2 linked regions of the Caenorhabditis elegans genome follow. The protein of the gene in region 2 purifies or fractionates together with the protein of the main gene of each other region. This does not show direct contact. Each region holds a gene or a part of one and is shown on either strand. Other genes may lie near its edges.

Region 1 (6,830 bases), on a different chromosome or scaffold from region 2:
AGGTTGTGACGTGTAATTTTTCTACACTTTTTAATTTTCCGACACTACTTGAATAACCCCATTATTAAGTTTCAAGAAAAGGTGTATTTATACATAGAACAATTTTTATAATCCTTCTTAATTTCAAAATTCCAAATTTTTTGAGTTCATTGTTTCAGCCAACTTTGGCAAGTCTCCGGATTGAAACTTCTGAAGCTGCCAAATAAGCCTATATTGTTGCAAAACATTTAAATAGAAGAAGTCAAAAGTTTTATTAGTAGAAGTTTTGGAAATATTCCAAGAACGTATGAAGAAAGTTTGTCGGCCGAGAGTATTCAGCTGTTGAAATTTTCAAAACGTGTGGATTGCCCAATTATTTTTTAACAAACAGTTAAAAAGGCCACTTCATAGAGATGAATACCTGTCTAATGCTTCATACAACTCATTTTTCATCACTTTTCTGCACTTTGGATGGGTTTTAAATTATTGACATACTGACGAAAATTTGTTTTTACCGTATTCCCTCTATTAGTATTGCACCCCACTACTTAACTTTGAACTCGGTTCATTTTGAAGATATCAATGTATTATTAACTACGAAATGATAGAAATAAAGTTAAAAAATATTTTGTTAGTTGACAATTTTTTAATAGGACAAACGATGACTGAGATATAAGCTGTGAAAGTTGAACAATGGGGTGAAGTACTAATGGGGTTATTCAAGTAATGTAGCGAAATGTATTTAAATACATTTGTGACGTCACAAATGTATTTAAATACATGTTTTTATTTACTTGAATACATGTGTGACGTAATTTTTCTACACTTTTTAATTTTCCGACACTACTTGAATAACCCCATAATAGAGGAAATACGGTAATTAACTTTAGTGGTTCGATCCCATATTTCGCTTGAAGATATCAATGCTTCAAAATGTTGTTTAAAAAATTATCTTATTTCCAAGATTTAATTAAAACAAACCTCAAACATATCAACCCATCGATCAATTGATCTACCAACTCTCCATTCACTTAATTGAGATTTGGCCATATTTCCCCATCGACAGGATCGTAGCGGGCGTTCACAACTCAAATCAGACATTCTTTGAAGTGGACTATTATCATATGGAGGAATACGAAGAGATGAGAATGATGATGGGAATGCTGGAATAATTAATTTTAGGTAAAATGGGAGTGATTGAGATATTTTGTTAGATTATGAAGAGTGAGGCATTGGATTTTTCTGGATGTTCAGTGAAAGTTTAAAACTTCTCTAACAAATCTAGTTTTATTTTGAAAAATTTACAGAACAAAATCTTTTAAAAAAGGATTAAAAATATCGTTTTTTTTGCGCGCCAATTTGATTTTGACTGCTTCATATCTCGAATAACTTTAAAACTTACGTGATTGCTGGCAAATCTTTCCGTGATATCTGATATGATCAATGATTGCCAAACTTCCAACAGTATTATCTTTGAGATCAAATGCTCGAATTCCAATTCTGAACGGTTCCTTAATCGGCGGAATCTCGACACGACATTCCTCATTGGCGGCTCCCAAGAAATCACACTTCATTTTTGGTCTGAGCAAGACTTGAAGATGACGTCTACGATTCATTGCTCGAAGGATGATAACTTCCACTTGAGCATTGTTGTATAGCCAGAAGCTAGAAGGATATAACTGGGATTATAATTTTATTTTGGAATCTATGTTAGTTAGAGCACAGTATTTTGCCGATCGCATACTTTGTGAGCTTTTACTCAGGCAACTCAAATCTAATATGAAAATATTAAATAGCAATATTTTTGTAGTAAAAACGAGAAATTGTGCGTCATATAAAGATTACTAAAAATTTCGATTTTTTTTTTTTATATCAGCATTTTTCAAACTATTGAATCATAGAAGAACGCTTAGTTCGTTTTTTACATATTAAAAAAAATGCAAAGACAGTAGAGATCTAAGCTTTCAAAGAAGAGCAAACACATTTTATTTCAAAAAAAATTTAGGCCCTCCAACTTTGTGCTTAAAATTCTTAAAATTATCTTTGACAATACCTGAAAGTCAAGTTGGCAAATCCTTTTTGACAAGCAATTGGAGCACTGCTCAACACTGCTCCATTCGGATTTTTCGTCGTATTTCCAGCAATTATAAAATGTTCGCCTTTTGGAATTACAGGATTTCCGGGCTGGATTTGAACTGGGAAAGTTTTCTCGTCATTTTTCTGAAATTGTTTAATTTTTTAAAAAAGTTTTGAAAAATTGTAAGTATAGAATTTATAGATTTGTCTAACAAAATCGTCAAAAAATTTGGAACGCTTCACGAATTTGCGTGTCATCCTTGCGCAGGGGCCATGCTAATCTTCTCTGTATTGTTCCAATTTTAGTATATGTTCTCGGAAGAACAAACATTTAGATTTACATTTCAATTATATAGGGACCATTAACAATGCAGCTGGCATATTTGGAGTTATGTAAGACACTATACCAAATGTAGATGTAGATCAATAATTTGTGCACCTATTCTATAGCGATACCAATATCGATTTGCATCTCCACTTCCCTAGCATAGTCATAGTGTCTTACATAACTCCAAATATGTCAGCTGCTGTGTAAATGGTCCCTATATAATTGAAATGTAAATCTAACTGTTCGTTCTTCCGAGAACATATACTAAAATTGGAACAATACAGAGAAGATTAGCATGGCCCCTGCGCAAGGATGACACGCAAATTCGTGAAGCGTTCCAAATTTTTTCTATAATTTTTGGTGAACTTTCCAATGGTTCTAAAGTTGAACTGTATAATTGAATTGTCTGAATAAATTCTCGAAATGTTGCCACTTTCAATCGAGTTTTTGAAATGTTTTTTTTTTGAAACTTTCAGTTAAAACTAGTTCATAAAACCAATTAGTTGCCAAAATTAGTTGGTATCTTTTACATATTATTCGTCTCAAAACTGAAAGCTAAATATTGTATATTATACCCTGGCCTACATATAGCGTAGGATATGGAATTTCACATACATTTTTATTTCTAATTGAACAATTATACCACATTCAAAGTTTGTATTCAGCGAAATCTATAACTGAGATCGTGACAAGACCCACTCAGAAAAGGTTTTATATTCCAAAAAAAGAATAGAATGGCACAAGACATTTGAAGGAAAGTTTTTCATGAATAACAAACCTTAAAATACCACCAATCACTGGTATCCAAAAGCTTATCAGTCGGCGCATTTCTCCAAAGACATTCGGTCTCAAAGTCACAGTTGAGTTCATCAGGTGACTCAATATACGTGGCAAATCCAACGGCCTCTGAAATCCACGTGATTGTGGTTTTTTTTTGCAGATCCTCGTGGTTTGATAATTTTAGCTGTTTAAAAACAAAAAAACACTTCACATTAAAATTGCTTATTTATCACTAATTTTTAAGAACGAATCTAAAACCAGATTTTTTATGAAAGTAAAAATCGGCTGATTTATTGTTGTTACATACTTTTGTTACAGAAATTAGCGAAATATTAGCGAAATCTGGATAAAATACCGTAATTTTACTACTACTGTACTACTGTAGATTTTGAAGTACTTCATTAAAAGCTCACGGAATTATTCAGACGGGCCTCGGCGCGCAAAAAAGTTTATGGTAGTTTTATTTGTTCATTGGATGTAGTATTGTATTTTTTTTCAATGAAATCACATGGTTTTCAGCTGTAATAAATCGTTGACAATCAGTTTTCAAAGTTTAAATAAAAATTAAACTACCGCGAACTTTTAATTCCGTGCGCCTTTAATAAGGAACTACAAAATCAAGTAAATTTCCGATAAAGCTTAAATTTTTGGAAAAAAAAATCTCGTCAAAATTCAGAGTAAATCCAAAAAAAACTGGAAAATGTTGAAAAAAACATTTTTAAAAAATCGGGATGTGGCCATAAATTATTGAAAAAAAATTGAATTTTTCCAAAAAATCGAAAATTTAGACTTTTTTCGTTCGGAGCAAAAAACAGTAAATTCCTTCAAAAAACCAAAAAACCAACCTTCCACAGGAATCTCTCCATTATTATCTGGCCTAATACCAAGATACAAGTCTAAATATCGAAGCTCTTTTTGAAATTGAGCATGACATGCTTCTAGAGATGGTAGAAAAATGAGCAAAAGTGCAAATTTCTTCCAGATCATTATTTTCGAGAGGCAAAAAGGGTGTGTACAGGCGAAGAACAATGGCAGATGCGCGGGCCAGGAGAAGCAGGCGAGAGGAACGAACCGGCTTCCGAATCACTATTGATATGGAGAATAGACGGGTTCGTTATATCATTTGATCATTCACCGAATCCCCATTCAACCTGAGAGAGAGAATGATGGATTTCGGAATCAATCAATAATTTATTTGGACCATATTTACTATTAAGTTTTACATAAATAAAATTGAAAGGAAAAAAAAAACATAATTTCGGTATCACAGAAGACAGTGTGGTTTGAACGAAATGGAAAGAGTAGGTAGGGATACAAAAAAAACAGGAAGAAAATATTTTGCCAGCAAAATCACGGCGAATACGATATCGTAGATTTACAAGATCTCTGAGATGTCTTCTTAAAGGCGCACGGTTTTATGGGTCTCGGCGAGCCCAAAAAAATTTTTATGGTATTTAATTTTGTTTATTTTCTTTGCATTTATCACATAAGTTAAAAATTGTTTTAAATCAGTTTGAGAAAAAAAAACAAGAAAGCCGAAACATATCTGAAAAAAACCTGTGCGCCTTTAAGAAGACACTTAAAAAATCCTGCGAAAGTACGGTGTATGCGTTATAAATTAAATATTATACAGGAAACCTATTCGATTTAAAAAAAGAAAAGTTGATTGGAAGTATTACATGTTCTATGACAAGATTGACCCCCCAAAGAAAACAAAAAAGAAACCCGATTTTTAGTAATCCCACAGCCTTATTACTCGTCCTCATCATCTGTCACTGGCTGTTTTAGGTTTCGAAGAAGGCGTCGGTAGGCTGACATTTTATTGTGTTGATCAGCGAGAAGCATCAGAAGTTCTTCTTGTTCTTGTTTCAGTTTTGAAAACTCTTCGGAGTCAGCCTGAAAATTTGAAATGTTTGAATTATTTTCACTGAGATAAAGCTCAAAAGCTACTCATCGAAACGTTTTTATTTTAGTTTTTTTCCAGAGAAAATTGAAAAAAAAATGAAAAAGTGGATGAAAAATCTGTAGCAAAAAATAATTTCTTCAGAAAAAATCGAACCAAAATTTAAAAGTAGTTTTTTGAAAAACGAAATAATTAATTTTTTCATAGAAAAATTATATTTTAAGTGTTTGATATTTTTAGAATTTTTTATTATTTTTTCAGCTTTTTTCAAAAAAAAAATTGAAATTTTATCAAGTTTTGCTCAAATTAACCTCAAATATATAACTATTTTTATATATATATATATTTTTTCCTTCTTAAAAAAAAGAAATCTGTTAAAAAATCAAGGTTTCGAAAAACTGAAATTTTACACATTTTTTCGATTTTTTAATGAAAAAATCGATAATTTTGGTAAGATTTTCCATCTTTTCCAATAAAATTATACTTTTTCAGTGTTTTTTCTAGAAATTCCTGAAATTTCGAAAATTCCACTCGAATTCTACCTGTGGTTCGTGCTCCACAACTATTCCATTCGAAATTGGCTTCAAATTCAATTGCTCAATTTTATAATTGGCTTCAGCGAGAGCAGCTTCCGTTTTCGCGAGTCTATCTTTAAGATTTGCATTCTCTGATGTATAGTGGAGCATCTGAAATATGTAAATTTTATTTTTATGGTTATTTTATTTTTTTTTGGTTATTTTTTTTATTTTAGACCAAACGGAAGCCGAAAAAAAATTTTTCGAATAAATTTAAGCATCGAATTGTTTTTTGGTTTTTTTTGATTTTCGCAGATTTAAATGTTTAGTTTTTTGATCCAATTGTGTCATTTTTCGATTTTTCGATTTTCCGGAAAATCGAAAAAAATTTCCGAAAATTAACCACAAAATATGATTTTACAAAATCAAATTTTTGTTTTATTGATGAGAAAAAAAATAAATATTTTCATCAAAAAAAGAAGAACCCTGACCAAAATTTTAAGCTAATTTTTGAAAAATCGACAAATTTTTTTTTCGAAAAAACGAAAATTTTCGATTTTTCGATTTTCTGATAAAATCTCCTGTCTACCATACCGTTTGTGATTGCTGTTCGAATGCCTGATATCCAAATCCGAGTTGCTGCTCCAACTCGTTGACTTGTTGCTGAAGCTGAGCCAATCCCGTCTCTACACCATTCGGAAGCTGTGCCAACTGATAGGCTTGCCATTGTTGAGCCCATTGCTTGTATCGTTCGGCTTCTGCATACCATTGTTGTGTGAGTCTCTGTGACTCTACTAGCTGACTATTCAGCACTTCATTTTGAGTTTTAAATGCTTCAGATTCTTCTAATCTCACACGAAGATTCTCAACTTCTCGTTCCATTTGCTTATTCTGAACTTCTGCATTTAATTTCTCAATCTCAAGACTCATTCGCTTATTGTCTTGCTTCAATTGGGCAATATCACCATCTTGCCGTTTTATGAGTTCTTTATATGATTGAATGATGCTATCATTGCTAGTTCCATTAAATTCTCCATTCGGTTTCAATTGCTTAGCCAACGTTCCTTCGAGAGATTTGAAAAGTTTAACAAAGTGGAAATCGAGGAAAAGCTCATTTGTCGGCTGCTGCTTTTGTGCTGCTCTAACAAATTGCTCGGTTCTTGAAAGTCCCTCCAATGCGGACAGAATCAATTCCTTTCCAACACGTCTTTGAATCAATATTTCCATCGATGATCGTGCTTCCTTACTT
Region 2 (5,626 bases):
TTGTTTCTTATTTTATATAACAATACTTGCATAGTACAAATATAAACTTTGTTTTACTTGCTGATTTCTCAACCATAAGTTAGAAGCCCAACACTATAAATGCCGGGTATCACATGAGGTTGGCCATGTAGATTGTTTGAACGAAGAGGCCACCAGTAAAGTTTTTTATTTTATTTATGATACATAGATTCACTTCTAAATAACACTAGACTTAATTATCTATCTTTCATTCCGAGGACTAAATGGACCAATATATGCTTCAATCACTCCTATAGCCAATTGTTAAAAAGTACAAAATAGTGTGGTTACAAAATTCTCAATTATAACATTTCCCCATGACTGAAAAAATTAAACTTTTTTTAAATTTTGACTGCACATGATGTGCACTTATCGTAAACATAAACAATGCACCCGTTCCATTCTCAGCGGCTTCGCAGGAATCAAAAACTCGGACGCCCTATTTAATTGGCCTCAACAATTGTGTTTAGCTACAGTAGTTTTTCCGGAATAGTTATACTAAATTTATAATTATTTAAAACAAGAGTGTGGAAGCATCTACTTGACAGTATATATTAACCATTACTTTAAGCTATGGATGGTGTAGAATAAACTCCAGAAGGAATGGTGTAAAAAGCTGATTCTATAGTTACTCGTTTTTCTAAAGAACCGCGGGGGCCTGGGATGTCAGAGTTATGTTGCATTAAGGTGACAAGTTGGTGACATGCTACCATAAATATAAAATCTTAGAATTGTCCGAAAAAGTTTTGTGGATAATTCGAAAAAAAGTACAAAAACTTATGGGACGACCTGATACAAAGGCACAAAGCACATTTTTGAATAGTTAACAAGCGCTCAGTCATGATGGTATCGTTTGAATTGGAATTAAAAGTTTTGAAGTGGCCTAGAAAAAGCGAAAACTAGGCCAAACCTCAAAAATGGTATTAATTCAAACATGTGATTAAGAAGCAAGTTTCAAAGTGTCACTGGGGTTTCTTTAAAAATTAGAAAACCCTCGGTAATTAACAACGAATGGGATCATTAGCAGAAATTTTTTTTTTAATCTGTGGTTAACTCGGCCACCCATATTTTTTGAGGCCGGCCACGGGCCGAACTTTATCTTACAGTTTAATGAAGTCAAAGGCAGAGTAGCGCCAATGGGAAAGTTTTGCAAACCTTTCCTATGATGCCAAAATGGCCAATGTGGCAGTTACTGAATTTTTGCCACTTTTTGAGAAATTTATAGCATTGTCGCTTGTTCGAATACTAATATAAAATTCAAACTTATTTTTGATTGACGACGTATAAAAAAACGAATTAATCGAGTTAAAAACTTCTCGAAAAAATTTTGGCACTTTTTTTTGTGCAGTAAAAAAGTAGTGAAATCTCAGCAATTTTAAGTGCAAAAATATATTATAAAATAGAAGTTTTTCAAGTAGGAACTCCAAGTCTAATTTTGGAACAAATAATTTCAAATTTTTGAGAATGTCGTGTAAAATTTTAACTTGTTGAATGCATTCATAGTGTAATTAATCAAAAAAAAATCGTTCAGTTTTAAGCCACCATAGGTGTTTTAAAAAATTGCATTGCCTCTTGGAAAAAAAAAACATATTGTTCAGTTTTTAATTATTTGTTCTACTAAAACAACATAGTCTCATTGATTCTTGAGTCTAGTTTCCATTGGAACTACTACAACAAATGTAACCAATTGAAATTGTCATCCCGATGGAAATTGCTCCCAATTGTTCAATGTTTTCCGATCTTCTTCTGCAACGTTTTCAAAGCAACTACTACTACAACAACGATGTCAGCTGACTTTTGGAGTACTTTTAGTCATCAAAAAAAAAAGTCTTGAACCATATAAACAAGATGACAAATAGATCAGAAGCTCCGCCCCACGTTTGGGGCAATCGCCATAACCGAAGAACCAACAGTCTCCGGAACCGAAAAACGGGAAACTCCCCCTTTTTCAAAGCACTCATGATTTTTTCTGGAGTCTTATCAGCAACTTTTAGAGCAACACGTTATCTTTGTAAAACAGCCCACTCTCCTGTTCACATGCCATTTTTTGTGTATAAAAAGACGACTATTCCTCTAGTTCTTCGATACTTTTGTAATAAAATTGTCTAGTTTGTGAAAAATAGTTTGCAATCATTTAATTTCGTTCATTTTTAACCTTTTTTGTTAACCACTTTTTAAAATCGAATTTTTAAGGTTCGGCCAATTTTTTGTTGACAAATCCGGCAATTCGGCAAACTTCCCGTTTGCCGATTAAACTTTCGTTTCCGGCAAAAAATTTCCCGTTTTTTCTAGATATTTTTAAAGAATTATAATTCTATAGCGCACTTTTGAAAATAGATGTAGGGGCATTCAGACAATTTTGCCGTTTTTATCGGCAAATTCGGCAAATTGGCAATTTACCGGTTTGCCGATTTGTCGGAAATTTTCAATTTTGGCAATTTGTGGATTCGCCGGAAATTTTCATTTCCGGCACAATGCCGATTTGCCGAATTGCCGGACTTTTGAGCTTCAGAAGCTCAATGGCTTTTTCCACTTGACCGCGAAAATAGAAAATTAAAAAAAAACCGTTTTTGACAATTTATTTATCATTGCATAAAAAATTGCTCGACTTTTATCCTTTTTATCAAAACATCCATCATTTTTCTTAATTCAACATTTCTCTTTTCAGAAATTTTCCCCCACAAAACATGGTGCAATCCGGAAACGAAAACCCAAAGCCCCTGGTGGCAATTTTTGGCGCCGGAATGATGGGAAGCGGCATCGCACAGGTCTGTCTTCAGGCAGGCTATCCCGTCAATTTGTACGGTAGAAGCGAGAAGAAGCTTTTGGAGGCCAGAGAGACTATCAAGAAAAATCTAATTCGTGTCGCTAGCAAGAAGAAGACCGACGTTCCGATGGAACCAGCAGCCTTGGAGGAAATTGCTCAGATTCAACTTGATTTGCTCCAGATTCATACTGATGTAAGTCTTAAGTTTAAGCTTAGGCTTAAGCTTAGGCTTAAGCTTAGGCTAAGACTGAGGCTTATGCTACACCTTAGGCTGTCTACACCCGGTCTATAAAATCTGGAAGTAAAATATTTCAGATTCCGTCCGCTGCCGAAGATGCTGCAATGGCGATTGAGGCTGTGGCCGAAAACTTGGATCTGAAACTTGACATCTTCCAGACAATTCAGAAAACTTGCCCACAGTGAGCATTAAATTTTTTTAAAACATTTTTATAATTTTTTTTTCAGAAACTGCATGCTTATCACGAACACCTCGTCTCTAAAACTGTCTCAAATGCTCCCAGTTATTCAGAACCCGGCACTATTCGCTGGGCTTCATTTCTTCAACCCTGTTCCAGTGATGAAGCTTGTAGAAGTTGTATCAACTGATGAAACTTCTCCAGAGACCACAAATTTCTTGTTCAACTTCTGCAAAGAAATCAAAAAGCTGCCGGTCGCCGCGAAGGATACTCCTGGATTCATTGTCAACCGGCTATTGATCCCATATCTTATGGACTCCATTCGCATGCTGGAACGTGGAGATGCAACTAAAGAAGATATCGATACAGCCATGCGATTTGGAACTTCTTACCCAATGGGACCAATTGAATTGTGTGACTATGTTGGACTTGATGTTCTGCAGAGCACTTTGAAAAGTGAGATTTACCAACTCCTTTTCTAGGTTTTATTGAACCCTTTCTAATCTTTCAGTCTTCCGCGAAACCATCCCTGGTGACGCCCGTTTTGCACCAATCCCACTTATGGACAAATTGGTCGCTGAAGGAAAGCTTGGCAGAAAAACGAAGCAGGGATTCTACACGTATTGAACACTTTTTGAGCATATTTTTTGTGTACACTACTTGCCAGCTTTTTGATGTATATTTTGCTTCTTACAGGTCATAGTTTCAGAGAAATAAATATTTACATTTGAAGTTTTTGATAATCTAGAATTTTTGTAATAATGTCCATAACATGGAAAATGTCTAAATTGGCACATTGAAGTAATTCCCAAGTTGAAGTAAGTTGTCTCAGGAAAAGTACACTACCGAACTGGTGCAACTCTATATTTACTAAAAATAAATTTCTGGAACAGTTTTTTGGTATTTTTCAAATAAGCTAATATATTTTCTTTGTAATATTCAAGAGCGTATCTATTAAATTTATGTTTTCAAATGTAAATTAGAAATTCTTAAATATTGCCAAAAAATAATTTAAAACAATTTTTTGAAAAACGATTCAAAGATTATTCACAATAAGATTATTGAAAAATATATGATAAGACGTTTGTAAAGTTTAGTTTCAGATCAATAATAAAAATTGTTATATTTTGCTCATGAATTATTTATTTGCTTATAAAAAAATCTTTTAGATAAATTCATCTATAACCTCTCAAATTCTTCTTTCTCTTCTTTTTCCTCCTTCTCTGGTAGTTGTGACAATTTCCTGCCAACCGTTGATAAGCTATTGGTTTTCACCAAGTAATAAATAAAGAACATATGACCACAAGAGACGAACCCGTAAGAAATAAATATACAAATTGCAAAAGTTGCCGGTAATGGGAGAATAATGACTAGAACATCTTTTAAAACGGAGAACGTTTGGCACAACGCGTTGTGCATTCCGAATACTGTATTTCGTTCTCGTTCTGGGATGGTGACTTGCATTATGTGAGTGATAGCCAGATCCAGGCACCACAATCCTGAAAATTGATTATTAAAATTAATTTTTAAAAAATTCCTGATTTTTTTGACATTTCCTAATATGTATTAGTTAAAACTTGAAATTTGACCGGCTTTTCAAGCGGCTGGAAACAATTTTTTTTTTGTAATTACTGTCAAATTTTGAGTACAAAATGTAATTATGTTGCGTTTTCAACTTGAGATTTTTAATTTTTTTAAACCAAAACTTGCCGTCCATCGACTTTAAAATACCTATATGAAGTTAAAACACAAGATAATTACATTGTATACTTAAATTTTGACCATGGTTTCAAAAAAAGATAGTTTCCAGCCGCTTGACAAGTCGGTCAAATTTTCAATTTTAACTAATCTTAGCCCATTTTTTGAGCCGTCATAACTTTTTTTTGAGAATTTTTCAAGGAGTTTCATTATAAAATTAGGAGTTTTCAGACAATTTTGAGCCTGATAAGGTAATAAAAAATTCGACTACACCACCTTAAAAAAAACCCAAACTCACCATATCTTGCGGATGCAATCGCAATCAAGAACACAAAGATGCTGGCCAAACTGACACCATCAGACGAAAAGTGCTTCCAATCAACATGTGGGTCCAAGTTTGTAGCGTTATTCCCGTCGAAAGAGTGAACCATATCGTGCCACCAAGTTCCCATAGTGAAGTTTCCAAAGTATCCACCAAGGTTCATAGGAGATCCCGGGAGGAACACGGATATAACTGCTAGAACCGCAAAAAACTGCTGAACAACCAATCCCAGTAGTCCTGAAGTGGCGACACTGTATCGCTTTTCGAAGAATGCGTAGGAAAACGCTCCAAGGATCGCAGTCACGGATCCATAGGATCTGAATGCTCCGATAACAAATTCCGGAAGCCCTACACTTGAGCCATATCCTACAGCTAATCCATCAAATCCCATCACTGTCATGAATA

What was found.
Region 1: the proteins of hacd-1 (region 2) and mam-3 fractionate together in Caenorhabditis elegans (co-fractionation; one large-scale study listed by BioGRID). This does not show direct contact.

What each region holds. Positions count from the first base shown.
Region 1 is NC_003282.8:13,441,117-13,447,946, forward strand, and holds the start of mam-3 (MAM domain-containing protein), read right to left. Parts: upstream 4,260-6,830; 5' UTR 4,151-4,259; coding exon 4,009-4,150; intron 3,290-4,008; coding exon 3,162-3,289; intron 2,731-3,161; exon of another isoform or gene 2,629-2,730; intron 2,386-2,628; exon of another isoform or gene 2,268-2,385; intron 2,200-2,267; coding exon 2,033-2,199; intron 1,645-2,032; coding exon 1,382-1,644; intron 1,143-1,381; coding exon 961-1,142; intron 1-960. Other genes in the region: uso-1 (Uso1_p115_head domain-containing protein), read right to left, coding at 4,916-5,059, 5,609-5,752, 6,176-6,830.
Region 2 is NC_003283.11:1,457,683-1,463,308, forward strand, and holds hacd-1 (3-hydroxyacyl-CoA dehydrogenase), read left to right. Parts: upstream 1-2,686; 5' UTR 2,687-2,705; coding exon 2,706-2,978; intron 2,979-3,100; coding exon 3,101-3,204; intron 3,205-3,250; coding exon 3,251-3,657; intron 3,658-3,712; coding exon 3,713-3,828; 3' UTR 3,829-3,931; downstream 3,932-5,626. Other genes in the region: fpn-1.2 (Solute carrier family 40 member), read right to left, coding at 4,381-4,700, 5,198-5,626.